Linked DNA regions of Alligator mississippiensis. The protein of the gene in region 2 interacts with the protein of the main gene of each other region in a pairwise test. Links are inferred from orthologs where the notes say so. Each region holds a gene or a part of one and is shown on either strand. Other genes may lie near its edges. The genes, in order: PRR13, SREK1IP1, SDCBP2 and STAC3.

The links.
Region 1: the proteins of SREK1IP1 (region 2) and PRR13 interact in binary tests that used the Homo sapiens proteins (3 or more experiments, as listed by UniProt). The link is inferred for Alligator mississippiensis from reciprocal best matches to the Homo sapiens genes SREK1IP1 and PRR13.
Region 3: the proteins of SREK1IP1 (region 2) and SDCBP2 interact in binary tests that used the Homo sapiens proteins (3 or more experiments, as listed by UniProt). The two-hybrid records come from large-scale screens. The link is inferred for Alligator mississippiensis from reciprocal best matches to the Homo sapiens genes SREK1IP1 and SDCBP2.
Region 4: the proteins of SREK1IP1 (region 2) and STAC3 interact in binary tests that used the Homo sapiens proteins (3 or more experiments, as listed by UniProt). The two-hybrid records come from large-scale screens. The link is inferred for Alligator mississippiensis from reciprocal best matches to the Homo sapiens genes SREK1IP1 and STAC3.

Annotation. Positions count from the first base shown.
Region 1 is NC_081838.1:8,755,087-8,761,215, forward strand, and holds PRR13 (proline-rich protein 13), read right to left. Parts: upstream 2,101-6,129; 5' UTR 1,913-2,100; coding exon 1,894-1,912; intron 1,791-1,893; coding exon 1,390-1,790; intron 1,134-1,389; coding exon 1,095-1,133; 3' UTR 518-1,094; downstream 1-517. Other genes in the region: AMHR2 (anti-Muellerian hormone type-2 receptor), read right to left, coding at 3,557-3,685, 3,781-3,917, 4,355-4,502, 5,310-5,470, 5,619-5,733. UniProt on the Homo sapiens protein: Negatively regulates TSP1 expression at the level of transcription. This down-regulation was shown to reduce taxane-induced apoptosis.
Region 2 is NC_081826.1:261,518,764-261,525,974, reverse strand, and holds the start of SREK1IP1 (protein SREK1IP1), read right to left. Parts: upstream 3,157-7,211; 5' UTR 2,923-3,156; coding exon 2,910-2,922; intron 1-2,909. Other genes in the region: spliceosome-associated protein CWC27 homolog, read left to right, coding at 3,251-3,292. UniProt on the Homo sapiens protein: Possible splicing regulator involved in the control of cellular survival.
Region 3 is NC_081832.1:2,012,260-2,020,128, forward strand, and holds the start of SDCBP2 (syntenin-2), read right to left. Parts: upstream 3,067-7,869; 5' UTR 2,559-3,066; intron 1-2,558. Other genes in the region: peptidyl-prolyl cis-trans isomerase FKBP1A, read right to left, coding at 6,616-6,744.
Region 4 is NC_081838.1:7,290,976-7,298,283, forward strand, and holds the start of STAC3 (SH3 and cysteine-rich domain-containing protein 3), read right to left. Parts: upstream 3,216-7,308; 5' UTR 3,121-3,215; coding exon 2,921-3,120; exon of another isoform or gene 2,513-2,920; coding exon 2,452-2,512; intron 2,085-2,451; coding exon 1,823-2,084; intron 1,084-1,822; coding exon 986-1,083; intron 859-985; coding exon 783-858; intron 689-782; coding exon 591-688; intron 1-590. Other genes in the region: R3HDM2 (R3H domain-containing protein 2), read right to left, coding at 4,269-4,615, 5,330-5,414, 5,626-5,726, 6,326-6,470, 6,565-6,737, 6,907-7,007, 7,277-7,308. UniProt on the Homo sapiens protein: Required for normal excitation-contraction coupling in skeletal muscle and for normal muscle contraction in response to membrane depolarization. Required for normal Ca(2+) release from the sarcplasmic reticulum, which ultimately leads to muscle contraction.

The DNA.
Region 1 (6,129 bases), on a different chromosome or scaffold from region 2:
CCGTCCTACCCTGTGCAGTGGGTATGGCTGCAGCCCGGCCTCTGCGGCCAACGCCAGCCCCCACCCCAGAAGAGCTGCATGTTCCTGCTGAAATAAATTAGCAGGTGAGGGCCAGCAGTGGGCAGAGCAGGCACCTCCCAACCCCACCTGACAGCGGGGTCACAGCCCCTCCTGGGTTACACCAGCGGCAGGTTGGCCTTGCGGGTACCTGGGTCTGGCCCCACCACCTGCCCGCCTCCTTGCTGCAGCCCGAGCTCAGTTGGGCTGGATCTGCTCCTTTCCCCGGCTCACGGGACTCCAGGTGCTGGGGATTTCAAGGCAAAGCCAGTGCTCCAGAATAGGACAGTCGCATGCACCAGGAGGTGCTGATCCCACAACACAGCCCAGCCCACAGCGGGGGTCCGGTGCACCCCATGGGTCAGGGGCTCCGCTGACCATGAGCCCCCCCGGCCCTGGACACTGGCTACAAAGGATTCTGGGAAGCCACCGGCGCCACAGAGGGTCTGATACCAGTGGGGGGGTTGAAACCAAGAGGCTTTATTGAAAGGCGAGTGCAAGGCAAGCGCTGCGGAGCCCGGAGGGAGCTCGCGCCCCCACCCAGTCGCCCCCAGTGCAGGTCTGGGGCTGAGGACCAGGCAGGGCCTTGTCCTGCCCAGTCCTGACCGTGAGGTAGGCAGCGTCCAGGCTGCACTAGATCACAAGAGCGAGCCTGGGATTGGTCAATTCCCCCCACTGGGACCCCTAAAAAGATCCCCTTGGCCAATCCATAACACCCCCCTCCCCCAGCATCAAAGCAGCCAATCGGGTGAAGCTACACAGTGCAGGGAGGAAGGGATTGGCTGGGGGAGGGGGGGGTCTGGATTTCCTTCTGGCTTGTGAGCAGGCCCCAGGTTGCTGAGGCCACCAGGGATTGAGTGGATCACCCCAGATCCCGGCCGGATCCTGGCTCTGGTGCCTGGCGCCTGCTTTTAGCCCTGATCCCAGCGCGGCAGGGCCTCGGCCTGGGGCCTCAGGGAGTGGGATGATCCAGGGGCTTGGCTTCCGCAGGCGGGCAAAGGTTGCATCTCCTGGCAAGCTGCGGCGGGCGGGCGGGCTCAGTCGGAGGAGCTGCTGGAGGATGAGGAGGAGGAGCGCTGCGGGGAGGAAGAACCCGGGCGTGAGGCTCATGGGCGGGAAGGCCAGGCCCCACTGTGCCCTGGGCGCTCCCATGGGCATGCAAGGGGGCAGGGGGGAGAAACCCCTGGCGGCAGCTGGGCTGAGACCCCTCCAACTCCGTTCACGAGACACCCCACCGCCCGGCTGGGCTGGACCCAGCGTTTAGGAAGAGGCAGCTCCCCCACCCCGTGGGGGTCAATCCCAGGCTGGGTTGGCCCCAGGACCCCCCCTCACCTTCCCGTGCAGCTTGTGTGGCTTGTGCCCCTTGTGCGCCTTCTTCATCTTCTTCTTCATCTTCTTCGCCGCCTTCTTATCCAGCGCAGGGGCCCCGGGCACCAGGGGGGCGACAATGCCCATCCCCGCCGGCACCCCGGGGCACATCGGGGGGTAAGGGCCCCCGGGGTAGGGGGGAGGCACTGGCTGGCCTGGCAGGTAGGGGGGCTGGCCGGGGCCGGGGGGCATGGGGTAGGAGCTGGGGGGCATCGGGCCCTGGGGGTAGGTGGGATTTGGCCCCAGGGGGGGAGCTGGGATGGATCCCGGGGGGTAAGCGGGGTTTGGCCCCGGGGGGTAAGCCGGGTTTGGCCCCGGGGGGTAGGCGGGGCCCGATCCGGGGGGGTAGGCGGGGCCGGGCTGGCCTGCAAGGGAAGCAGAGCTGCAGTGAGCGTGCAAGGGGCGATCGGGGCCACCGCCCGCTGCCCCGCGCCCGGCCCCGGCCCCGGCCCCGGCCCGGCCTCCCACCTGCGCTGGGGTCCCACATGGCCGCAGCAGAGCGCTACCGCCGTCGCCTCCGCACCGGGACAGGGAGCGGCCTCCGCCCCCCCGCAGGGCCCGCCCCCGGGGTGTTAAAGGGGCAGGAGCCGCCGGCCCCGCTCCGGCAGCGCCGTCCAATGGTTAGAGCGGCTCCAGGGGCGGGGGGGATCGCCGCGACGTGCGGGCTTTAGTGGGGGGGGAGCTCGGACACCCGGGGTCAGCCGCGCCCCGGCGAGGAGCCGCCCCCGCCTGCCCGGTCCCCGGGCTCCGCACCGCCTGCCTCAGTTTCCCCCAGGGTCCATCGCCACCTGCCTCAGTTTACCACGGAGTCCGCACCGCCTGCCTCAGTTTCCCCTGGTGTCCTCCCCCGCCTGCCTCAGTTTCCCCTGGTGTCCACCCCGCCTGCCTCAGTTTCCCCTGTTGCCCCCCCCCGCCTGCCTCAGTTTCCCCTGGTGTCCTCCCCCGCCTGCCTCAGTTTCCCCTGGTGTCCACCCCGCCTGCCTCAGTTTCCCCTGTTGCCCCCCCCCGCCTGCCTCAGTTTCCCCTGGTGTCCTCCCCCGCCTGCCTCAGTTTCCCCTGGTGTCCTCCCCCGCCTGCCTCAGCTTCCCCTGGTGTCCGCCACTGCCTGCTTCAGTTTCCCCTGGTGTCCCCCCTTCCTGCCTGTTTCCCCCAGGGTCTGCCCCCCCCGCCTCAGGTTCCCCTGGTGTCCTCCCCCGCCTGCCTCAGTTTCCCCTGGTGTCCTCCCCCGCCTGCCTGTTTCCCCTGGGGTCTGCCCCCGCCTGCCTCAGTTTCCCCTGGTATCCGCCGCTGCCTGCCTCAGTTTCCCCTGGTGTCCCCCCTGCCTGCCTGTTTCCCCTGGGGTCTGCCCCCGCCTGCCTGTTTCCCCCGGGATCTGCCCCCGCCTGCCTCAGTTTCCCCTGGGGTCCTCCCCCGCCTGCCCCAGTTTCCCCTGGTGTCCCCCCCGCCTGCCTGTTTCCCCTGGGGTCCTCCCCCGCCTGCCCCAGTTTCCCCTGGGGTCCTCCCCCGCCTGCCTGTTTCCCCTGGTGTCCCCCCCGCCTGCCTCAGTTTCCCCTGGGGTCCTCCCCCGCCTGCCCCAGTTTCCCCTGGGGTCCTCCCCTGCCTGCCTTTTTCCCCGGTATCCGCCGCTGCCTGCCTCAGTTTCCCCTGGTGTCCCCCCCGCCTGCCTCAGTTTCCCCTGGTGTCTGCCCCCACCTGCCTCAGTTTCCCCCCGGGGTCCACACTGCCTGCCTCAGTTTCCCCGGTCTCTGCTCCCGCCTGCCTCAGCTTCCCTTGGGGGCCCTGGCAGTTTCCCCTGCCAGGCCTGGGGGGCGCAGGGGGCAACACCAGGCCCTGCCCGGCTCATCTGAGCACCAATGAATTCATTGCTCCCGACAGCGCTGGGGCCACTGGGTCTCTGCAGGTGCCCACTCGGGGGGCTCCAACCCGGGTGCTGGGGCCCGGGGGCAGTCTCAGCCCTTCATTCAAGCTGGGGCACTCGCTGGGTGACTTGATCACACACTTTTATTAGCAAAGGCGCGTCGGGGATGAAACCCGGAGCCTTCAGCTTGCTCCGGTCATTGCCGCCGTCCTCAAGGTGGCAAGGATGAGCAGTGAAAAGGGAACTGGAAATAAGGAACCGCGCCCGGCTGGCTCAGGGCCCCCCTAAGGGAGGCTCCGGCCCCAGCTGCTGCAGGCGCTGGTGGGCGCACTTGGCCGTCAGCCGGGCCTCGGGGTCGGGGTCCCAGCAGTCCTCCAGCAGCTCCTGCAGGCAGCCGGGGACCTGGCAGAGGAGAGGGGGGCATCAGGGGCCTCCCTGGGTCTCAACCTTGCAATGGGGGGGTGTAGCCCCTGTACCCCCCCCCTTGTTCCCCTTACCCCTCTGGTGCCCATCCAGGCCTGGGGGATGGCTGGCCTCCGCTGCTGCTCCACCGCCAGCCTCCGCAGCGCCATGGGGCTGGGGCTGCTGCCCAGCTCCGCCTCGTAGGCCAGCCGAAACTCAGGGACGCTGCAGCCTGGGGGGGCACAGCCAAGGGAAGGAGCCGATTCTCCCACCAGCCCCACCCTGGGCACTGTACGTACCCCCTGAGATCTGCTAATGTCACAGTCCACTTCATTACGGGCATGGCCTAGGTGCTCGGGGAGTGGGGGGGCACGATGCTATGTAAAGCAGCCCTGGGGCTGCCCAGCCCTAGATGACCCCCAGGCTGGGCAATGCCCCCTGCTCCCAACTCAGGGGCTCCTCCCCCTCCCCCCCCGCAGTCTCACTGTCCTGTGCCCCCCACCCCCACTGGTCCTGACTGCACCCCCCGGGCTGGGGGGGCAAGGGGTGAGTCTGGGTGCTGTTCCCCTGGTGCCTGTCCCCACCTGCCTCAGTTTCCCCTGGTGTCCCCAGTTTCCTCTGGGGCCTGTGCCCCGGTGCAAATTGGAGGCTTGAACCCGGGGCCCTCACCTGGGAAGAGCGCAGGGCAGCGCATGAGGATCTCCCAGAGCACCAGGGCAAACGCATAGACGTCGGCCTGCTTCAGCGCGCAGCCCCAGCGCCGCAGGTCCAGGCTCTCGTCCAGGATCTCGGGGGCCATGTATCGCTGTGTCCCCAGCTGCCGGAGCACGCGCGCATGAGCGCACACATGCACTGGGCTCTCATGAGCACATACACTTGTAAGTGCCGGGATGTGTGTATATAAGTGTCTGGGCATGCCAGTCTCTTGTGAGTGCGCACGCATGTGAGATCATGCACATACGGGCTGTCATGCACACACGCAGGTTCTCGTGAGCACATGTGCACGTGAGTGCACACACACATGCGTCAGGCTCTCATGAGCGTGTACACATGTAAGTGCATGGACATGCCAGGCTCTCATGAGCACATGCAGATATGAGCACACGCACGTGTCAGGCTCTCGTGAACACATGCACATCCCAGGCACTTGCGAGCACATGCATACATGAGCACATGCACAAGTGAGTACACACACTCATGAGCACATGCACACACAAGTACGCGCACACACACTAGCCACATGCTCAAGAATACAGACCCACACGTCTCAGCCACTTACCCATGCACATGCCCAGCCCCACACACATGGCATGCCCACATTTGGACATGGCTGGGTTGAAAGTTGCACACACAAGTACCAGCCTGGCACACCCCAGTAACAAGGCTCATACGCACCAGGGGTCACTTCTGGTGCATCCTGGGGCCAGGACTCACATGCAGCTCTACCCCGGCTGTGAGGCTGGCACATGCAAGTATCCATGTGTGCACATGCCTGGGCTGAGATTTGCACCCACTGGTGCCCATGTTTGCAGCTCTGGATCACAGCTTGCACGCACTAGTGCTATGGCTTGCACGTGGGCTCCTCCCTGTCCCACCCCCCCGGCCCCTCTGCCAGCCCCGGTACCTTCCTGATGGCGGTGGGCGAGCGGTCCCTGGGCCAGGCCTCGGGGCTGGTGGGCAGCACTATAGCCAGCCCAAAGTCGGCGATGGTGCAGGCCCCGTCGTCCCGCACCAGCACATTCTGGCTGCTCAGGTCCCGGTGGGCCACGCTTGGCTTGTATAACCCTGGGGCGTGCAGGGGAATGGGGGGGGGGGGGTGGTGAGTGGGGTGCCAGAAGTCCCCCACCCAGGGGAAGGGGGGCATGGCAGAGACCCCCCAGGTCAGCCAAGCTCGGTGCATGGGGGCTGGGCAGGCAGGTGGAGGGGGTCTCACCATCGCGCCACAGCTCATCATGGAGGAAGGCCAGGCCGCAGGCCAGCGACAGCGCCAGGCGCACGGTGCCCTCCCAGGGGCTGGCATGTTGACCCAGGAAGTACCGCAGGGAGCCCTGCGGATGGACAGATGGACGGGGGTGGATGGACCCCTCTTGCTCCTAGCCTCCAGGGACTGGCAGGGCCTGGGACCCCCCTCTGTTCTCTGTCACTTCCCCCCTGCCTGCTCGCCCGCCCTGTCTGCCCCATACGAAGCTCTCAGGTCCGACAGAGCCCCCCACCCGGAGACACCCCTGCTCCCCCCACCTTCCGTGTGCTGAAGGAGGAACCCAGGAGTCCCAGCATCAAAGCCCATGCTCTAACCACTGCCTCTGCTCCCACCCTAGATGGGATGAGAACCCAGGTGTCCTGGCTTCAAGCCTCCTGCTCTGGCCATGAGGCCCTGTCCCCTCCAAGCCAGGTGTCCTGGCTCCCAGGTGCCTAGAGGCCTCCAGCCCCCTGCTATGCAGCCT
Region 2 (7,211 bases):
AACTCATTTAACAAGGGGTAATTTAAAGTGATGTATCCATTTTTAAAGTACTGTAAATCCATACACTTCTATTAAGTCATGGCCAGGCATCCTGGTTTTCTGTTTAAAAGCTGCAGACTCTCTGATCAAAAAAAACCCCAAATCCATGTTTTTCCGTGGTTAAAATTAAACACCACTCACACTCTCTCTCTATATATATATATAGGTGAGAGAGAGAGAGAGAGAGAGAGAATCAGTTGAACACAATGTTTTACATTTACAATGTAAAAGCAATTTGGAAGCCTACCAGTGCCTCAATCACTATAATAAATAAATTCTAAATACCTATAAATTTTGGCACTTGATTTTGGGTTTTTTTATCATGGAAAAATCAGAGCTCCCCCTGCCTCCTTTGCTCACCAGGATGCAAGTCCAGCTGTGGCTGTTCCCCACACTGCTTTGAGGCGTGGAGCTGCACTGACATGCCAGTGTCCTGCCCATGCCATTGCCCCTCCCTCCCAAGCCACAGTCGCACCAACCCTGCCGGTGTCACTCACTCCCAACCTACAGCCCCCTGCCTGCACCCAGTCCTGCCAGAGGGGGTCCCCGGCTGCTAGGGCTACAGGGACAGGAACCCGGATCTGCAGTTACCTTCCCTCCCCCAGCAGCACCCAAGCCCCAGCTGCCACCTGTGGAGCACAGCTGGAGTGGAGCCTGTGGTGGGGGCAGATGCAGGATGCCTGCTGTAGGCTTGGGGCTCTCTGCCCTGCTGCCCTTCCCCCACGGTCCAGCAGGTGGGACCCCACACAGCAAGGCAGAGTGGGGTGGGGAGGCTTGGTGTCACAGCTGGGAGCCTCGCATTGCCATGATGAGGTGCCTCCTGTCCCAGCCCCCCAGATGCAGCACCAAGCCTCCCTGCCCTACTCTGCCGCGCCAGGTCCCACCTGCTGAGACGCAGAGGCCACAGGGGAAGGGCAGCAAGAAGCCCACATCCACTTCTGCCCTGCGCACAAATCTGGAGGACATGTGGGCAGCAGTGGAAAGCCAGGCCCCTTGCTGCCCGCCAAATGAACCGCCTGCAGCTCCATCCCACTCTCTGCCCAAACTCTGTGCCCACACATTTCGGTCCCAGGCCCCATCCTAGCTGGGCAGCAACTCCAGCCCCACTCCTTCCTCCCTCACTAGGGGAGCCTCAATCCCTCCCTCCTTCCACCCAGGCTTATCCCCCTGTCATGGCAATAAAGCGCTTTAAGTGGTGAAAAAAAATAACTTTTATACACACCCCTTGGTTCCATTCCAGCAGGTAGCCCATGCATAGAGCTTTATAATTGTCCTGCTGCTTTGAGCTAACACACCTTGTCCACTAGCTCACACAGACATATAACCCAGTCTTCTGGGATTCAAACCCTGCAAACAATTCAATTCAGGGTGCTGTCATGTTAGATATGGCCACTAGAAAAAGGAATATATAAGGCCAGCAAAGCCCAAACCAATTATAAAAGGCTGCTGAAAGTTTAAATTTTCTGTATGAGTTTTTACTGAACTCGGGATTACTCTGCATCGTGATTGTGGCCAATACTTCCACTCAGCAGCAATTTCACTGATGGCAGAACGAGCTTGATTTGTTATGAAGCAATAAACTCCTCTTCCTTGTTGTGGTGGAGAGGCTTGCGTGCCCTGATGATCCTGAGAATGATGCTGTCTGGACAGCCTTTTTGGTAGGGTATCCTATGGCATTAAGGTCAAAGGTGAGGTTTCAGACAAATAGCGACCCAACCCCAATAACTAGGGCAGGTGGAACTCTTTACCCCTGGTCTGGGAACCTACCTAGGAGAAGGATACTCCAAAACTAAACCTACAGCCTGGAGATCTCTCTACAGCTGTCCTAGTTCACCAGGCACATGAGTTTCAGGCCTAAAGAGCGGGGCCAGTCAGTACAAACTGTACTCCACTTTAAAGCTCCACACACAGGCAGGAAGAAAACAAGTCGCCCAATAAACTAGCATGGAAACATTTTTAAAACCACAGCATATCCCTTACAAAGCCCTGCTTGGCAATTAAAACTTCTTTCCTTGACGGGTGGGGTATTCTGTAGATCTGGGAAAATTTGCTTTCTGAAAGTGACTTACAGTTCACTTTGTGAATGTTTTTGATGCTGTTGCCTGACTGCTTAACTGAGCTGAAACATCACCAGAAAATAATCTAGAGTGCATACTACGCCCGTTGGTCATCTAGTCCAACCCCTGCCTGACAGGCAGGATCCTCCCTACCCAAACCATCCTGTACAAACCCACATCTAAACTGTGCATGCACAAGCCTGAGCTCAACCCTGACACACCACGGCCCTCACACCCTCACCTACCCCAGGCAGAGCAGGGGACGCAGCAACCCATGTCTGGCTGCTGTACAAGGGGGTCAGCGTACGCTCAGGAGACCCTGGGAGAGGGCCAGGCCGGGCAGAGGAAGGCAATGCCCCACTTCGGGTTGCCAACTTTGTTTGAATCTATTCCAGGAGGTTTCCTCACGTGATGTAGTGACATTAATGATCAGTCTACTGTACTGCACTCAGGAAGGCAAATGCATATTACTATTACATTAAAAAAAAAAAAACCCCATGGGCCTAAACTGGATGCAACATTTAATGTTTATTTTAAAGAACGCCCTATTACTTGTCTCCCGGGTGACTCTCAGCAGTCTCCTGGAGATTGTATCCAATTCCTGGAGGCTCCCGGGCGATCCTGGAGGGTTGGCAACCCTACGCCCCACAGGTGGGGACAACTCCCCGCACCCTGCGCGGAGGGGGAGTCCCCGCATCCAGGAGCCTGGGCTGCGACCTGGCCCCGGTTGCGGGCAGGGCGCTCCCAGCCCGGCCGGGGGACTAGGACACGGGGAAGGGGCCGCCACCCGCTGCCCACAAACAAGGTGCCCACCTGGCAGCGCCATCCTCCTCCTCCGCCTGCTCGGGCCGCGTTGTTCCGGGCCGGGGCTGAGCGCGACGCGCCGTGGGCCGCACCACTCGCCCAGGCGGGGGGGGGGGAAAGGGAGGCGCGGGGGCGGCCCGAGGGGAGCAGCTGCGAGGCCTAGGAGTGCGAGATGGGGGTAGCGCGCCGCCCTACCCAGGCGGCCTGCGACCCCATCACAACCGCATTATCCCCCGCGCCCCCCGCCCCCCGCAGCTGAGTGGTACGGCCCAACATGGCGGGCGACGCGCGGAGCTAGGCGGGCCCGTGGGGGAAGGGGCGCGGCGCGGCCGGATCGCGGCGGGGGCAGCATGAGTAACATCTACATCCAGGAGCCGCCTACGCACGGCAAGGTGCGGCCGGGGCCGGGGCCGGGGCCGGGGCCGGGGGCGAAGAGCAGCGGGGAATGGCCGTGTCGTTCTTCTCGAGGGCGGCTGCGCCACTCTGGGGAAACGAGGAGCCGGGGCCGGATCCGTCCCGTGGGCGCTGTCGTCCGGGATACCCGGTCCCTGCTTCCACATCCCCGTGCGGGCCCAGTCCTGCGGTGTGCTGGGCCGGGGCCGGGGCACAGGGCTGGTCCCAGGCTGGGGTGAGGCCTGGGCCCGGCTACTCCGCGTGGGACCGACGGGGTGGGCGGCTCTGTTTGAAGCTGAGGTTTCATCACGTGATGCAGTGCATTAATGACTGCTCTGCTGTACCGCGCTCAGGAAGGCAAATGTACCATTGCATTTTAAAAACTCACTGGACTACTGTATACATTAGATTCACCATTTAATATTTATTTTAATGAATGCTGTATTATTTATCTCCCAGGTGACTCTTAGCAGTCTCCTGGAGATGTATATCTGACTCCTGGAGACTGCAGGGCAATCCCGGAGGGTTGGCCACTCTAGGGTCCGAACGTGGGAGGCCAGAAGGTGGGTGCCTTGCACGGAGATGGGCAGTGGCTAGCACAGGATATGCAGTCACATGAGATGCTGCGAACCATCTGTCAGGTCATCAGCCCTGGGGCATGCATACCCCTAGGGGTACTTAGAGAGGTCATAGAGGATACTCACGGGCAGGCAAGGACGGAGCGCGCCCCAGGGCACAGCAGGGGCATCCCCTCCAGCGCGCTCCCACATGTTCCCTCTTACCTGAGGGACCGGGTGGCCCCACGCACACTGCAGCACCTCACCCCAGCGCAGTCTCCTGATTGGCTGCTACCCTCAGCCAATAGCTGATGGCAGGAAAGTGCTGCGGACACCTCCTGCCTGCAGAGCTGCAAGGCACAAAGGGCCTGAATGGCGGGGGTGTGGGGAAGTGTGTTTCTGTGCCTGCTCCCAGGGGCAGGGCTGGGGCGGGAGGGCGAGGGCAGCAGCGCCTCTGATGATGGATGTGCGCAGGGCTGTCCTTTGGGTAGGGCAAATCAGGGGCGACCGCCCCAGGCCTCATGCTTGGGGGGGGCCCCGCAGAGCTGGGCAGAATGGCCACAGCCCCTCCCATGGGGCCCGCCTGGAGCTGGCAGCTCAGCCCCACGCCGCAGAAGAAGTATCTAGCTGCTTGCCACCCCGCTATCCTCCCGCAGCACGTCACCAGCTTTGCATCTGCTGAAGAGCGGCTTGTCGGGGCACATGAGATCTGCTTGGCCCCTGGGCACCAAATTTCATTGCCTTTGTGGGGGTCCCATGACCCCATGCCATGTTAAAGGGGCCCCACACAGGCTGATTTGCCCTGGGCCCTGCATCCCCTAGGGTTGGCTCGATGTGGGGCGGGGGCACTTGCATGCGGTGGCCACCACCCCATGCCGCCACCTCCCAGGAGCAGGTCCAGAGAGGGCAAGGGCAGCAGTGCACATCTGCGGGCCGCACAGGTGCAGCCTGGCTGGCCGGACGCAGGGGATGGGGGAGCTCACACACCACTGCCACCCACCACCACACGCCACTGCTATGCGCAGCTTTTCTATGGATGTGTGGCTCCATGGGGTGCTGACAGGCGGTGCACGATTGGCCGGGCGCAAGGCCTATCAGCAGCCCTCAGAGCCACATGTCCGACTGGCTGTGGGAGAGCGGGGCACAGTGGCAACACGGGGTGGTGGGTAGTGGCAGCAGCCTCCACATGCGAGCCCAGCCCTCCCCCGCCCCATTTCTAGCCGCTGCCACCAGAAGGGGTGCACTAGTTAAAAAAGTTTGAAAAAAACCTCAGATCTATGTCATAGGCTGCAATATCTACCATCTGTCATAGACGGAAAGATGCCAAAAGAAAAGAAGTAGAGGATGTTGATAAAAAGCATGGATTTGCAACATTTTGCCATTACAAGCTTCTGCTGGCAACCCAGCTCTCTGCTGTGACCCACAAATCTGTGTTTGCTGGTGATCAGCAGGTGCTACGGAGGGAATATGGAACAGGGCAGGGGTTACAAGCCTGTGGATGCCTCCACTGCTGCCGTAGCACAAGTGTAATGTCAGTGCCCTGAGCCATAGGTTGCCAACCCCTTGTATAATGAGATAAAATGATGCACACAAGTGTCACATGCCAAGTCACCAATGATAAATTCTTATCACATGCTTTAATTCAGAGCTATATCTTGTGTATCAGCACCACTTTGAGGGGAGAAAAGTCGACAGCCAGTATGTTATGGCTGCTGTTGCTGCTGCAAATCCAAACCGATCTTCCACTTCTGCCTCTGCATTTCTCAGATTGGAGAAGGAAAATATTTTTTCATTCAAACTATGGTGTGATTTGATCAGAGACTTCATCTGCAAATGTTCAGTTGCAGTATATTTTGCATGTTAAAAATACATGTACTTGTTCTGAGGTCCTGTTTAGAGTCTTGGATTTAAGGTAAAAGAGGAAAACAGCAAGGAGGATGGTCCTGGTGGGTATCTACAATAGCTAAGGTATATGTCCTGTTTTGGCCAGGACAGTCCCCAATTTCATGGGCTGTCCCTGCCAGTTGCCTAAAATAGAAGCAGAAGTCTAGGATTAGAGGCAGCACCCTGCCTACACATACCTGGTGCTGTTCCTCCTGAGCAGTTTCTGGAGGCTGCAGGGGTGCGCTGAGCATGGTATCTGACCTGACCCTCCTGCCTAGTGTGGGGATGGGCTGAGGTGAGGCGGGGGCTCAGGAACAGCACCAGGGAAGGGGGCTGGGGCTCAGGAACATGTATAAGGTAAACCGGCATGGCCACCAGCAGCCTCATGTTCTGCTGCTGCCAAGGTCTGGGCTTCATGTGGCGGCCCCAGGTGGCTGACAGTGGCTGGGGGAAGGCGCTGTGTGGCTACATAGCGCAAGCTGGCAGAGCTTGAGGGGCACCACACAGGAGCCTCTCCCAGCTGGGTTCAGCCTCTGCGCATGGAGGAACAGAGCCTGAACCTGGGCCTCCGCACTGTCCCACCCCACCCTGCTCGAACCTCGGCTCTGGGTGGGGGAAGGGGTGCATGCGTGCAGGTCTGGGGTATGTACATGTATGTGACCCCCCCCCCCATCCCAGTTTTCCTTCAAAATAATGGGGTCACCCTGACAATAGCCCACCAAATTAGTAGGAGAGGATGGGTAAGGCCTTTTCAAAACTGGTTAAATTAAATATCTAAATCATATGACGTGTGTGTTCATGAGGGACTTTTCCTAGAACTTCCCATAATAAGTAAGGTATCATGGCAGTGCACATACATTCCAGCAAGTTCTTAGACTGTGTTGGGGGCAACTTTATGGTACAGATGGTGGCAAAACCAACTAGAGGAGGATCTTCTCAATTTATTCCTTAATGATGGGGAGGAATTGGTTGAGAATCTGAAGGTGGAAGACAGTGAACTCTTTATCAAGTCATGAGAACTAGCATACAGAAAGAAGGATGGGAAAACAATAAAATAAAGACATTGGGCTAAAGGCAAACAGCTTTTAACAGATTCGGAGAACTGATCAATACTATGCCATAGGAGGCAAGTCTATGGGGAAAAAAGTAAATCAGAAGGATTTATTATTTCTTGAAGATACACTATTAAGGGCATGAGCATGCTATCTTCATAGGAAGCAAGGCCTCTGCTTGGCTAAATATTGAGCTCTTCAATTTCTTCAGAGTTCAAAAAGGAATCTTACAAAAACAGAAACATGGCTACAAGGGAACACAAAGGGATTGTGGAAGTATGTTGGAAGAGGAAGGATAAGAAAAGTGTCGATTCCTTCCTGAACAGAGACTAGAAGCCAATATTGCATGATGCAGAAATGCCTAAAGTATTTAAGGGGTGTACTTGGTAGCCGTGTTGGTCTGAGACAAAAAGACATACAAAAAA
Region 3 (7,869 bases), on a different chromosome or scaffold from region 2:
GGGACGGCAGGGAGACGTGAGGGTCCTGCTCCCGAGCTGGGGGGGGGGGTGGCGGGCAGACACGTCTGTGTGCGTGCACGCCTGCAGGTGTGCATCTGGGTGGAAGGGGTGGGGGTCTGCACATGTCTGGACCTGGGGCTGGTGTGTGCACACGCATGTATTCCAGCCACAGCGGCTTTCCAGGGGTGCGTGGGAGGGGGCTGGGCTCTGCTGGGGGGTGGGCATTGGGCACCGAGCCCCCGGGGGGCTGGCACGCCCCACAGAGGCTGTTTTACACGCCCGAGCACAGAGCCTGCATGCCACGGGGGTTAGCCACTCTGCGGCTCTGCCTCCTCACACCCAGTCGTCACACACGCACAGCTCTCATACACACCACTCTCTTGCACACACTCTGATCTCTCACACACACCTCTCATATCTGTCACACACACATGCACGTCTCTCACATACATCTCCATCCCACACGTCTCACACAACACAGCTCTCTCCCTCACACACGCCTCTCACACACATACACATCGCTCTCACATGCATGCGCACACACGTCTCATCTCGCACACCGACACACACGTCTCTCACAGCACCCACAGATCTCTCGCAGACATGCATCTAGCTCTTGCTCTCACACATGCACACACACGCACGCACGCACACGCTCCCCACGTGCCGCTCCCAAGGTGACTCGGGCTCCGTGCTGCGCCGTGCCCTGCGCGGCTGCTGGCCTTGCTGCGCAGGTGTTGGGTGCCGGTGATGCCGTGCACGCCCGTGGCTTGGCGCAGCGTGACTCAGCCCGGCGTGGCACTGCAGGGTGCCCCTAGTCCCGGCACAGGCTCCTACCCAGGACAGGCCCCCCGGCCGTGCCCCGCAGCCTCGGCCGATGCCGCAGGCAGTGCATTGTTCCCCGAGCCGGGCTGGCACCCAGCCCCGGGGCCACGACCCATGCCCCACCCCTGGCACTGGCTGGCATGAGTGCTCCATGAACGGCAGCCTCTGTGCCCCTGTCACCGGCTAAGCCCAGGTGCCGGGCCTGCTCCCCGCAGCTGTGGGGCTCCCGGGCCGGGAAAGCACCCGCTCAAGCCCGAGTGTCTGTAACCTCTGGGCACCAGGGTCCGCACGCCGGGGAGGGAGCCTGGACCCCGCGCAGCCAGGCAGCCCCCTCCCCTGCCTTGCACCCGCCACACGGCAGGCCCACGGCGGGCACCACGCTCAGCCCCCATCACAGCACACGCTCTAGGCACAGATCTGCCCGTGTGCCCACATTGCAGGGACTGCAGACCCCACACCCGCAGGCTTTGCACCCTCTAGTCGGAGTGACCGTGCCAGCACCGAGCTGCAGACAGGCCACGTGCTTGGAGATTCATCCTGTGGAGCGGGTGGGGAGGTTGCAGCCAGGCCCAGCTACCTTGGGTGCTTGGCAGTGGCTCCCTTGAAGGCCACGAGGTCCGAGCCCAGCGTGGCTGGCAACATCTCGCTAGGGCAGCAGAGCGGGGCAGTTACAGCCGGGAACTTGAGAGCAGCTAAGTGACATGACCAGGGCCCCACAGGGCCCCTGTGGCAGAGCAGGAAGCGGAGCGTCCCAGGTGACACCCTCACTCAAACCACGGTGTGACAGGGGGACACGCCGCGACGCTGCCCCGTTCACAGCGCGGTGGCATGGCACGTCCCGGTCGGACAACTCAGAGACGTGGCAGCGCCGCGGGCTGGGGGCTACTCCAGCAGCCGGGGCAGGGTGCTGAGCTCGGCCTGGGGAGCTGCGGACCTGACCCTGCAGCCCGCTCTGCAGGCAAAGCCACCCGGGCTGCGGAGGGGAGATGCCTCCTCCCCTCCCCATGGCTCCTCCGCTTCCCTCGGGTCCGTCTGGGGCACCTGGGCCAGGCTCCACCGCCGTACGCAGGCGCAGGCCACGACCGATCGCAGACTCATGGAGGGGGGTTGGCAGGGACCTCGGGGGTCACATCTAGTCCAACCCCTGCTCCAAGCAGGACCAGCCCCAACTCCATCATCCCAGCCAGGGCTTTGTCTGCCAAGGTCTTAAACACCTCCGAGGATGGAGACTGCACCACCGCTCTGCGTAACCCCTCCAGTGACCCTCCTCATGAGAGTTTCTCCTAATATCCAACCTGAGCCCATTGCTCCTTGTCCTGTATCTGCCCCCACCGAGCACAGCCCAGCTCCGTCCTCTTTGCAGCCCCCTGCCCCAAGGGCACAAGGATGCTGGGAGGGACCTTGGCTTTTGGCACCTCCAGAGCCCACAAAACAGAAAGCGCCATCCTTGCAGGCATGGGACGAGCCTTCGTCTGTGGGTTCGCCCTTCCCCAGAGCCTCCCCTGCGGCCCGGGGCCGTCCAAGGCCCGGCCTGATGTCAGCCCGGGCTAGTCGGAGCAAAACAAGCCCCAGCCTCCCCGTCGCGGGCTGTGGTTTCGGGCGAGGCACGGAGCAAGGCACGGCAAGCCCAGCTCCCGGCACTGCTCAGCACCCCCGGCCCGCAGCGCCCACCCACGGGTGACACGCTCCTTGTGCCCGGGCTGCAAACAGCAACCCCCAAGCACGCTGCTCACCTTGCAAACAGGCTTCCCTTCCCCGGGACGCTCTGCCAGCCCGGGTCAAAGCCCACTGGCTTTATACCAGCAGGGCTGGCAGCCTGGGAGGGGCCCGTCTCCATCAGCTGACTGGCAGTCACCGGCCGGGAATGCAGGAGGCAAGCAGGTGACAGGTGACAGAGGGAGCGCGGCCTGGCGAGGGGGCCTAGGACGTGCCCCGAGCCAGGGGTGCACCAGGCGCTCTGCTTGGGGGCACGGAGCGGGTCTGATCCAGAGGATCTATTTGCAAGGGCTGTTGCTGCTCCCTGCAGCCCCCTGCCAGGTCTCCAGTGCTGCAGCCGGGTCCTGCTGCCCTTCTCCCCCCGCCGGTGCCCGAGCTGGCTGCAGAGGGAAGCACGAGCCCCCGCCAGCCCCGGTGCTCGACAGGCTCCTGCCACGGCCGGCGGGCGCTTCTGCACCCAGCGCACAGTGATGTCACGCTCCCCTCGGCGGGGACGTGCCGTCCCGGCGGCTCAGCTGTGATGCTTGCCGTTGCCATGGCACCGGCCTCCTCCACGCATGCGACACGCGCACGGCGTGGGAAGCACGCCCACGTCAGAGCCGCGGGGACAGTGACTCAGGGACGCCTGAGTCAGCAGCAAGCCTAGGCCCTGCATGCCTGACGCTTTGGTGGATGCTCTAACCACTGAGCAATGCTGCAGCCAGGGCACGGGTCCGAGCAGGTGCACGAAGCCCCGTCGCGCGGAGCTGCTCAGGCCCCTCCACCCCCGTCACCGGCCCCCGGGCACGCGGCCGTGCCCGCTGCGACGCCAGGGCAGGACAGGAGTGCGGGCAATAGGGCAGGAGGAGGAAGAGGAAGCAGAGCTCCCGAAACTGGCAACCGAGTGACCTTCGCCCTCTGCGGCAGGCAAGGCCCATGGCACCGCGCGCAGAAGGCGCCCGGGCTCCAGCTGCAGGCGAGGCCCCGGTGCGGATGCTCCCCCGACAGGGTTACCCCCATCCCGGAGCATCGTGCACCGGTGCCCAGTATCCTCAACCGCTCCGCGCGGAGCTGGACGCAGTCCAGACCCGCCTCCCCCTCCCGAAACTACCAGCAGCCCCACCTCTGCCCCGGAGCTGGGAGCGGAGAAACCGGTTGCTCCGATTGCAAAACTCTGCGGCGGAGGCCGAGAGAGATGACGCGGGAGGAACGGCCCTTGCCTGCTGCCTGGGGCCAAGCCCCGGGGAAGCCCGGCTGCGTCTCTGGGGCAGCGCTGGCTGGGGCAGGAGGTGGGTCCTTGGGGGAAAGCACCTGGGAGGAGTTGCCCGGTGGCAGGCACCCACCTGAGGATCTCTGCATGCCAACAACACCCAGGGTGCAACACCTCCCCCCGGTCTCATTGGCTGAGGGAGCTGTCGATGAGCCCGCCCCTGGTGCCGGCATCCAGGTGAGCTCACCTGTGCAGAATGCAACCTGCAGCCCCGCCAGCCGTTGCCCGAGCGCTCGGTATTTCCCTGTTGATGGCGTTGCCAAAGCAGAGGGCACCTTAGCAATCGTCACACCTGACGCTGAGCACGCAGGCCCTGCCCGGCCGCCTCCGCAGCGCCGTCTGGGATCCTGAGCCAGCAGCAGAGCGGGGTGCCAGGGGCAAGGGCAGCAGCACAGAGACTTCATGGCAAAGCGCTCCAAGGCAGCGCTTCCAGGTGGGCAGGGGGTAGGAGCCGACCCCAGGCACCTGCAATGCTGCTCCCACCCAAGACACGGCACAGGTGCTGCGGCCGACTGCCACTGGCCGAAGGTGGGATCTTTTGGGGAGCAAACGCCCCCCCCCCCGCCTGTCCCCTCCGCTCCCACACGTGCAGCAGTGGCCGGGAGTAAACCTGACAGGCGCTCGCCGCGGTGCCACCCACACCCGTGCCTAGCGAGGGCTGGGGGAGCCGCAGGCAGCAAGCGATGACTCACGCAGCATTTTAAAGCCGGAACAAAAAGCCCCTCGGATGCGAGCCGGTCTTGTGGGCATCAAAGCCGTGGCAGGTGGGGTGGGGGGAGCACGAGACCTGGGCACATGCACTGCCCCACAGGCCAGCAGCAGGCTCACCATCGCTGCACATCCCTTGGCAGGAGGAGACCAGGCTGACCAGCTTGTTTCCCAGACCCGCTTTCCCCCGAGCCCAGACGTAACCTCAGCCGCCCTCCTGCACGATCAGCTCCCCTTGCAGAGCAAACCCGGGCCCCAGCCCAGCTCCACACGCATGAAAAATATCAAGCTCCCTGGTCCCCCTGCGGCCCTGCTGACCCACGCAGGGAGACAGCGCGGAGGATGCAGGCAGAGCTGGGGAGAGCCTCGCTCCCTGCCCAGCTCTCCCAAAGCAAGCAGTGTGGCCAGGCCCCTGCAATACGCCCGGCCGGGGGAAGTTTCTGCCCAGGCATCGGGTGCTGGTTACCTGCTGCCGCGGCGGAGGAGATGCAGACGGCGTTCTGAAAGATGAGCTTTTTAAGAGGTTTAGGGCAGTGCAATGACAGCTGGAGGGACAGGCAGTCTCCCAGCACAACTGGGACGAATCCAGACTCTTGCTAAGGGAGACCAGGCAAGCTGCCCCCTCCAGAAGCCCGCAGGCCGCAAGAGCCGGTGCCCAGACTGGCAGCCCCGGGCAGCGCGCCAAGGGCACAGCAGCAGAGAGGCGAGTGACAAACCTGCGAGAGGCAGCGTTGAGAAAAGCCAGCATAAAGCACTTTTATTGCAATCATAAAACTCAATACTCTGATGTGGCGGTGGAGGAGGAAGCGATGGCAGCCATTCCTCTTACCAAATCACGACGCGGGGCAGAGGGAAGGGAAGGGAGCCGAAGTGACGCCAGCGGAGGTGGAGCCGTGCACCGAACGGGAGGCCGCGGCACGCGGTGATGACCAGCATCAGGTTTGGCGCGGGAGCGCTGGGGTCTCGTCATCCCGGCGACGGCGGGGGCGCCAGCTTTCCGCCGCGGGCTCGTTCCTATCGGTGCCCCCCCAGGAAACAGCCCCTTCCGTCCACGTACAAAAGGCCCCTTGCGATGCTGCAGCCTATGTAGTGGTGGAGCACGGATGGCGAAAGGAAAAGAGACCCTCAAAATCCAGGAGGAGGAAGCGGGGGGAGGAAAACAACCACATGCTGGTAAAGGCAGCAGGCAGCAAAGGGGGCAGGATACTGCCCGCTCTGGGCACCGCCAAGGGGGAAGTGCTGGCGTGGTGGCACCACCCTGCCGGGAAGGGAGCAGGAAGCTACTTGTTCCCGTGTCTCAGTCCCAGGCAGGGAAGTAACACCGCCAGCCAAGGACCCCTTTGCTCCCCAGAGTCAGTCAGCCCTTGACAGCTCCTCGCTCTGCTATGGCTTTTGCAACGGCAGCGGCAATCTCTTTGTCATACACAACAGATATCTGCATCCAAAAAAAAAAACAGAACAAAACCAGCTCCCGACATTTCCTTCGCTCCAACGATCCCTAGCACAGGTCGCCCCAGGGCGCACTAAAGCCGGCAACACAACCAGATGAAGAGCTCGCCCAAAAGGGGGGGGGGGGGGAAACAAAAAAAACAAAACCAGAAGAAAAACCCCTAAAAGTTGAGGTTTACGGCGTATAGTTTAAAAGACATAAAAACACAATACAAGGAGGAAGAGTCAGAGGCAAAGCTGAGTGACCAAACACATTCAATCAAGGTACAGGGTTATACAACGAGTGTAGTGGAATATCAGGAAAAGCTCCGTACAAAGTCATGTGCATTCTTCTTGAAGCTGAGATTCTGGATTCCTCCATGTGCCAAACCTGGGAGAGAAGGAGGAGGGAGGGGGGAAAGATGGTGCTGAGCCGATGCCACCTGCGGACAGCTGGCAATGGGGTGCCAGCGGCCTGCCCCTTACGGAGGGACGCGACGCCCCACCTGCTCAGCACGAGGGGCTGGCTGCAGCCGGATCCGCAGGGTGCATCGTTGCCATCACCCCCCTTGCATCTCGAGTCTCAGCCCAATTGCCCCGCACCCGGGACCTGACACCTGCCTCCCAGGACCCTGCCCCAGAGCCCCCCACCTACCCAAGGACAGGGAGCGGGGGCTGGGCGCCTCCTGTCATTCCAATTTCATAAGCTCCACGTCGAAGATTAGGGTGGCGTTGGGCGGGATGATGCCGGGGTGGCCGGTGGAGCCGTAGGCGTAGTCCGGAGAGATGGTCATCTTCGCTCGCTGGCCCACGCTCATCTGCGGGAGACACAGAGCACAGCTGGCGGAGGCAGCGCGGGGACACGGCACGCCAGTCTGAGCCCGGCTGTGCCCGCTGGCTCAAACCTGCCTTGCGGAGAAGCCTCCGGCGCCGTGCAGAGCCGGGCTTCGGGGCAATGCTGCAGCACGCAGCTGGCACAGCCTGCCCTGCTGCGCCAGGCCACGCTCAGCCCACACGCCCTCTGGGGCAGGTGCTTTGGGCACCACGCTGAGCACAGCAGGGCCCGTGCCCACAAAGCTTGACAGTAGTGCAAGCAAACACCAGACAGAGAACCACCGCAGCGCCGGCCGGGGACGCGACAGACGGCCGAGCTGCAGGAGATGCTGGAGGAAGCGGCTGTCCCCCCAGACGCAGGGCAGCCCGTCCCTGGGAGTGACCAGCTGGCCACACAGCGGGGTTTTCCAAGTCTCCACTCCTGCCTCAGGTATGTGCGATTAGGGATAATTAACAGCTAGTTAATTAGCAGTAAATGCTCCCTAGTGCAACCCTTGCCATGCTGCACCTTGTCCCAGGCTGTCCCTGCAGACATGGGTGTGTTCTCACGCACCCAGGTGCCACCTTCTTCTTGCCAAGGACTCGGGAAAAGGGGTGGCACTGGGGACTGCTGCCCTGTAGCCCAGCTAAGAGATCCGTGCCAAGACCCCTCTGCCTCAGCCCAAGCGGGCACCTCCTCCCTCAGCAGCAGCGTGCCCAGGACCCTGGCAAGGAGCAATGCTCCCAGCCAGGGCACCGCAGCCCCAAGACTCAGCCCACCTTCCCATATGACAACTACAGACCCTGTGAACTGGTGCCAGGCTCCTCACATCTGCAGGACGCTGGCACGTGGCAGGGAGGGGACAGGAACCGCAGTGCAGGTCCCAGCCCCCCCCCAGCCACGCAGCACGGGCACCGGAGACCGCAAGCCTCTTTTCTCGGAGAGATCAGCACCCGGCCCGCAAGAGCCCAGCGCAGCGCGGCACCCAGTGGGGCCTCAGAGATGCTCCCTGGCTCACGGCACCCGTCACCTTACACACTCATACACACACGCATGTGCACGTGGGGAAACCAGGCCCTCTGCAGTCATGAGGGGCCGGGTGGAGCAACCTCCTCATCCTCCCAAATCC
Region 4 (7,308 bases), on a different chromosome or scaffold from region 2:
GGGTCAGGGCAGGGGGCAGCCCCAAAGTATTCTGGCCCCAGGGCAGGGGCATGGCCAGGGCGAGAGCCCCAGGGGATTCTGGGTAGCAGGTCAGGGGGGAGGGGGGCTGGGAATGAGTGGGGCCCTGGAGGATCCTGGGTAACCAGATTGGGGGCACTGAGGCTGAGCAGAGGATTGTGGGTAAGGGGAATGTGGCCCCATGGCTGCCCCAGGGGACTGTGGCTCATGGGAGGTGGCCTCGTGGCTGCCCCAGGGCATTGTGGGTAAGGGGAATAGGGCCCTGTGGCTGCCCCAGGGGACGGTGGGTAAGGGGGGGTGGCCCCGTGGCTGCCCCAGGGGACAGTGGGTAAGGGGAGGTGGCCCCGTGGCTGCCCCAGGGGATTCTGGGTACTGGCGAGGCAGCTCTGGGCAGCTGGTTCCTGGGGCCTCTCAGACTTGGGGGGAGGCCCTGCCCCAGCCTACTCCCAGGCTGGAGTTTCCCACAATGCCCTGGGGGTCAGTGGAGGGCCCATCACAACAGCGCGATGCCTTGGGGAGATGGATGTCCCCCCACCCCCCAGTGCCCCAGCACCCCCCAAATGCCCCCTCACGTTCTTCTTCTCCTCTTGGCCCTTCTTGCGCTCCTTGTTGGCCATGATGACGCCTGTGCGCAGGGTCTCGAACACGGGGTCACTCCGGTTGGTGGCGGCTGTGGGGGGGGGGATGCCCCAGGGGGGCATTGAGCATGGTGGGGCAGGGCCTGGGGAGTCCCCGAGCGCCCCCGGGGGGGGGCAGGTACTCACAGAGCAGCTCCTTGACGCAGGCGTACTGCTGGTCGCTGTACAGGGGCGAGCTGTAGGCCCGCCGGAAGCCGGGCGGCTGCGGGGGAATAGGGGTTAGGGGCCAGCCCGGACACCTGGGTTCTGCCCCCGGCCCTGCAAGGTGGTGGCCCTGGCAGGCCGGGGCAGCACCCGGACGCCTGGGCTATGCGGGGTCCCGCACTCACGATCTTGCCGAAGCAGCGCTGCATCTTGGTGTAGGACTGGCAGTGCTGGTGGATGCTGGTCTTGCAGTTCTTGCACCGCAGCCCAAACTTGTTGTTCACTGTGAGGAGGGGACGGCTCAGCCCCAGCCCTGCAGCCCCTGGCACCCTGCAGCCCCCCACAGTCCCCCAGCCCCAGCCCCAGCCCCTGGCTCCCCAGCCCTGGTCCCCCAGCACCCAGCCACTGGTCCCCAGTGCCCTGCGGCCCCCCAGGCCCAGCCCCCGGTACCCTATGGCCCCCCAGGCCCAGGTCATGGCCCCCGCAGCCTCCCAGCCCCAGCATCTGTTCCCTGGTGCCCTGCGGCCCCTCACGGTCCCCCAGCCCCTGGTCCCTGGTGCCCTGCACCCCCCAGATCCTGGTCCCCTGCAGCCCCTGCAACCCCCACCCCAGCCCTGAGCCCCCTTCTGCCAGCACCCCCGGACACCCAGCCAGAGCAGAGGATTGTGGGCAGGGCCGAGTGGCCCCGTGGTTGCCCCAGGGGATTCTGGGCAGGGCCGAGTGGCCCCGTGGTTGCCCCAGGGGATTCTGGGTAGGGCTGAGTGGCCCCATGGTTTCCCCAGGGGATTGTGGACAGGGCTGAGTGGCCCCGTAGTTGCCCCAGGGGATTGTGGGCAGGGCCGAGTGGCCCCGTGGTTGCCCCAGGGGATTCTGGGTGGGGCCGAGTGGCCCCGTGGTTGCCCCAGGGGATTCTGGGTAGGGCTGAGTGGCCCCATGGTTTCCCCAGGGGATTGTGGACAGGGCCGAGTGGCCCCGTAGTTGCCCCAGGGGATTGTGGGTAGGGGAAGGAGGTCCCCACTCACGGACAATCATGCGGGCACAGACGTCGCAGAACTTGGGCTTCTTGAAGTAATGCTCCTTGAACTTGTGGGGCTTGTCATTGACGGGCGGCGGTAGCTCCGGGGGCGGCTCGGGCTCCTCCTCCTCCTCTTCCTCCTCCTCGTAGATGTAGTAGAGGGGCCCCCCCGAGGGGCTCACCAGGGCCCCGTTCTCGGGCTGCGGCTCGGGCGTCTCAGGCGGCGGCTCCGGGGCCTTGCGCTGGAAGAGGTGCCGGAGCCGCTGGATCTGGGGGAGATGGGGCTCAGCAGGGAAACTGAGGCACAGAAGATGGGGGGAGTGTCCTGGGCCGCATGGCAGTGATGGAGGCAGGGGTGGAACCCAGGAGACCCCACAGCCCTTCCCCAGCTGGGCACGGAAACCAGCTCCCACTGCCCTAAAGCACCAGGCGCTCCCCCTCGTCCAGGCCGGGGTACAACCCAGGCATCCAGGCTCCAAGCCCTCCGGCCCACTCGGCCCCCTGGGGAGATGCTGGCTGCTAGGAAGACACAAATAACACTCTCCCAGGGCCCTTCAAGTGGGGGGGGGGGAGCAGTGGCAAGGCCCTGCCCTGCCCCACTAGGGCTGCCCAGGACCCCTTGGCCCCAGAACGTACCTGGCCCTCGGCCATCTCTCCCGGTGAGGCCGGTGGCTCCAGTGCTTCCTTCTCCGTCATACTGCCAAGGCAGGGTAGGGGTCACGGCTCTGGCTCCCTTGCTCTTGTGCCCCCCACTCCCAAGATCTACCTGGCCCCCCAGTCCCAGTCCCACTGTTCGGGGGCTGCGGGTCAGAAGTGCGGGGCATGGCTGGGGCTGGGGGGCAGGAGAGGCACTGCCAGGGCTGCAGGGGCTCCCCCCTCTGGGGGATAGTGTCACTGCCCCCCCCCTGCAATGTGCCCACCTTTGGGTCTCCCCGCCAGCTCTCCCAGACGCTTGTACAAGGAAAGCGCCAGAGCTGGCCCCCCCCATGGGCCTCTCCCACCCCCAGGGACAGACAGCAGACCCCTGGGGCCCCCGCAGCTCTCGTAAGGCCGAGGGGGGTGACGGGGAGGGGTGCAGGGGCTCTGGGGTGCAGGGGGCACTCACACTGTGGCCGGGCTGGGCAGGGGCCTCTCACTCCAGCTCCAGGCGGTGCCCGCGGATGGGCCAGGACAGCTGCGCCCGCATGACAGCGAAACCCGAGCTGGGCGGGGGCTGGCCACGCTCATGGGGGCCAGGGCACAGCTTGGGGGACTGCCCCATGGGGGGGGGGGCACAGCCAGGGCCCAGCCCATGACATATGTCATCTTGGGGGGGGGGGGTCATGAGATCATAACCCCATGGATGGGGGTCACACCCCCTTGCCCTCCTTGCATGGGGGGAGGGGGGCAGGGTGTCAAACCCAGTTCTCCTCTCCACCCCCCACAGTGTAACCATGCCCCTTGCAGATGGGGTCAAAGGCCAGGGGTCAGACTCGGAGACCGCCTTGGTGACAGACGATTTTTTTTTCTTTTTATATTTAAAAATCAAAAAATCCCCCCGCCCCCCCCCAATAATAATAATAAACCCATTAAATAAAATGTACAGTGACCAACCCAGTGCGGCCACGCGGCGCCCGACAGAGCAACGGACATGGGGCTGGGGGCATCAGGGCCAGCCCAGGGGTGGTGGCGGTGGTGGTGGGGAGAGGGTATCTGGGCTGGGGTGGAGGGTCCAGGCCAGGCTGGGAGAGTCTGGGGGCTTTGGGAGGAGGGGCGTCTGGACCAGGGTTGTAGGGTCAGGACCTGGCTGTGACGGGCTCAAAGAAAGGCGAGGGGCTGGGGTCCTGGCTATGGCCTGGAGGCTGCATGGACAGGCCAGGGTGGGATGTGTGTCCAGACTGAGCCTGGGGGTGGGGATCACAGCTGTGTGTGGGGTTGGGTTCAGGCCAGGCCAGGGGATTCGGGGGGGGGGGGGGAGATCTGGGAGCTGTAAGCTGAGGTGTTTATGGGGGTCCAGGCCAGGCTGTGGGGGTCTGTGGGGGCAAGGGTCCCAGGCCAGGCTAGGGGTGGTTTGGGAGATCCATGCCAGGCCAGGGGGTCTGTTGGGGGGTGGTGGTTCAGACCAGACCAGGCTTGGGGGTGTCCAGGAGCTGTGGGAGATCAACCAGGACACAGGGGATGTGGGGAGGTTCAGACCAAGCCAGGCTGGGGGGTTCCAGCCCAGGCTAGGGGGGGGTCTGTGGGGGGTCCAGGCTGGGTCAAGGGGGAACCAGGCCAGGCCAGGGGGGTTATGGGGGTCCGGGCGAGGACCTCTCACTCCAAAATCAAAGGGCAGTGGCAGGAACAAATCACTGTCTCCTCTTCATCGCGTCCATATAAATATCTCCAGAAAGAAACGGGGTGAACGAAAGCAGAGGCGCGCGGGGAGGCTCCGGGGGCCAAAGTCCAGCGCAGCCCCCAGCCCGGCAGGGGCCCTACTGGGAGCTGGCGCGCTCCAGCACGCGCAGGTCGTAGTGGCGCTTGGCACCACGTAGGCGGAAGCGGCTGAGCGGCGTGTTGAGGCGCAGTGAGGCGTTCTGGGCGGCCAGGGGGCTGGGGAACACGGCCACCACCGTGTAGAGCGCCGCCAGGTCGGGGTGCCGCCCGTTCTCAGGCCCCACGCGCCCGTCCCCGGCCCCCGCGCCTGCCCCGCGCCGGCCCCGCGTCTCCTTCAGCCACTGGATCTTGGCGCCCGCCATAGCCAGCTGCGTGAAGAGCTTGTCGGCCTCGCTGCGCGTGATGCCCTCGGGCAGGTCCGTCACCTCCAGCACACGGCCCGGCACTGTGGGGACACGGGTGTCAGCCAGGGGGGCCACGGGGGGCCCATCCCCGGCCCTGAGGGGATCTAGGAGCCCAGACGCCTGGGTTCTCCCCCGGCGCAGTGGGCGAGGCCTGGGCACGGCGGTGATTTTGTGACGGCTGTGGCTGGGGACAAATCCCAGCAGAGCCCGTGCCAGCCACCCCCACCTGTGGCCCCGGCTGGCCCCGGACCCGGCCAGCTGAATTCCTTGCTAATATTAACCCGGGCGCAGCAAACTCCCCCTCCTGGCTCCAGTTTCATTGGGGGGGGGGGGAGCAGGGGGCGGAGAGAGCAAGAGGCTCCACCATGGCGCTGCAACGTGGCCCGCAGCTGTCCTGCAGGACAGGGGTGTCATGGATGGTCCCAATAGCAAGCACTGAGCCAGCTCCTAGGGTGAAGCCAGCCAGGAGAGAACGCAGGCATCCTGGCTCCCAGCCCCCGACCATGCCCTGCCCCCTACCCAAGCTGGAAGCAAGGACAGTGGGGGAGGGGGTGGCATTCCCTGCCCATGCATTAGGGTTCAGCTGTGGCAGAAGCTGCCCCATGCGCAGCTTTGTGGGCAGGGAAACTGAGGCACAGAGCAGGAGAGGGACAGGCCAAGATACCCTGGCTAGGCAGGGAGGGAAAAGGAGTCCAGGTACCAGCCTCTACACCCCGTGCCCCTCCCAGACATACCCCGGGGGGGGGATCACTTGCCTACATCGCTGGTCCCGAGGTCAGTGGATGCGGACTTGAGGGCCTGCCTCTTGCCCCTGTTCCCGTGCTTCATTCCTGTCTGGCTCTTCAAGAGTTAAAAGAGGTGTTCCCTAAGATGCTGCCCCCTACTCCCTTGCCAACTTGCCCCCCACCCCCATGCTAGCCAGGGTGGCAGGGCTCAGTCCCCCCTTCCCCAGAGCTCCTGAGGGGGCAGTGGTGACCCCAAGCTCCCCCCCATCCCTCAAGATGCCCCCTCCCATGGTAGGAGCTACCCCTTGCCCGCCCAGCGCCCGTACCTGGTGCGAGGTGTAGCTGGGCTGGCTGTGCAGCAGCGGGGGGGGGCACAGCGCCAGGTTGTACTGCAGAGGCTGCCCCAGCAGCGAGTAGCGCCCGTCGCCTGCCCGGTGGGAGCAGAGATTGGTGGGGGTCCCTGTCAGCTCCCCACCACAGGAGCAGCCTGTGCTTCCCACCCCAGGGGGCTCCAGACTCCGCCCCCTGGCACTGACCAGCCAATAGCCCCACCTCATGGGGCTGGAGACTCCACCCCTTGGCACAGAGCAGCCAATGGCCCTACCCCATGGGGCTCCAGACTCCGTCCCCGGTACTGACCAGCTAATGCCCCTGCCCCATGGAGCTCCAGACCCCACCCCTTGGCACTGAACAGCCGATGGCCCCACCCCAGGGGGCTCCAGACTCCACCCCCTGGCACTGACCAGCCAATGCCCCTGCCCCATGGAGCTCCAGACCCCACCCCTTGGCACTGAACAGCCAATGGCCCCACCCCATGGGGCTCCAGACTCCACCCCCTAGCACTGACCAGCCAATGCCCCTGCCCCATGGGGTTCCAAACTCTGCCACCTGCAGAGACTGACCAATGGTCTGGCCCATTGGGCTCCAAGCCCCACCTCCTGCAGAGACTAGGGGCTCCCTCCTTGTCCCAGAGCCCCTGGGCCTGCACGGGGGCAGCTGCCCCACAGCTCCTGCCCCTGCCCCTACCTTGTGCTGGGCCCACGGGCCGGGGGAACTGGGCGAGGACGGGGAGGGGGCTCAGCCCCGGGCAGACGCTGCTGAGGCTGGTGACAGGCGACGGCGTCGGGGACTGGGTGGGGGATGTGATGGGGCTGCTCAGCTGGGTGCTGGCCTGGGGGGGGGCGGGGGGGGGGGAGTGGGTCAGGGCCCAGGGCTTCCCCACAGAAGGGATGCGTTGGGCCCAGCCCCCCCGCTCCCCCTTGTACCTGAGCGCTGGTGTCGGGGCTGTATAGCTCTCCGGGCTTCTGTGCCCGCTGATCCAGGCCGTAGTACTTGCAGTGACTCCACTGCACCACGGGCGGGTTCTGGGGGGGCTGGGGGCCGTTGGGCACATTGAGTTGCATGACGACCACGCCGGGCCCCGACGCCGACACCCCTGCTGGGAGGACATTGGGGGGGGGGGGGGGGTGAGATAGGGGCTGGTGCAACGTGGCCCCAACTCCCCTGGCCTGGCAATGGCTCAGCTGCGGGGGGCATCACTATCTGGCCCCTGCTTGAGGCAGGGGCAGCAGAGGGACCCCCGGGGTGCAATGAGGTGGGCTCGCTACCTGAATACTGCTGCTGCATCTGCGGTGGGCTGCAGGGCGATGGGGACTGGGGCAGCTGGTACTGCTCGGAGCCGGGCGGCTGCAGGAACCCAACAGACGAGCTGCAAAGAAGGGGGTGGATGGTGATGGAGCAGGGGACAACACCAGCCAACTCCCCCACCCCCCACAAGGACCCGCAGCACCTTCAGCTCATGCATCCTCGAGATAGGAATGCGGCTGCTTCTGGGGAGAGAGCTGAAGGGCTCCTGTGTGAGCCCCCATTGCACAGATCCCCTGGTCACAGGCAAGACCCCGCCCCAGGTCCTCCCAGCCCAGCAGGGCCACACTGGCTGACTAACCCCACCACAGCCTCAGCTAGCCTGTCCCATACCTGGTCCCGTTCTGCTGGGCCGTGGGGATGAC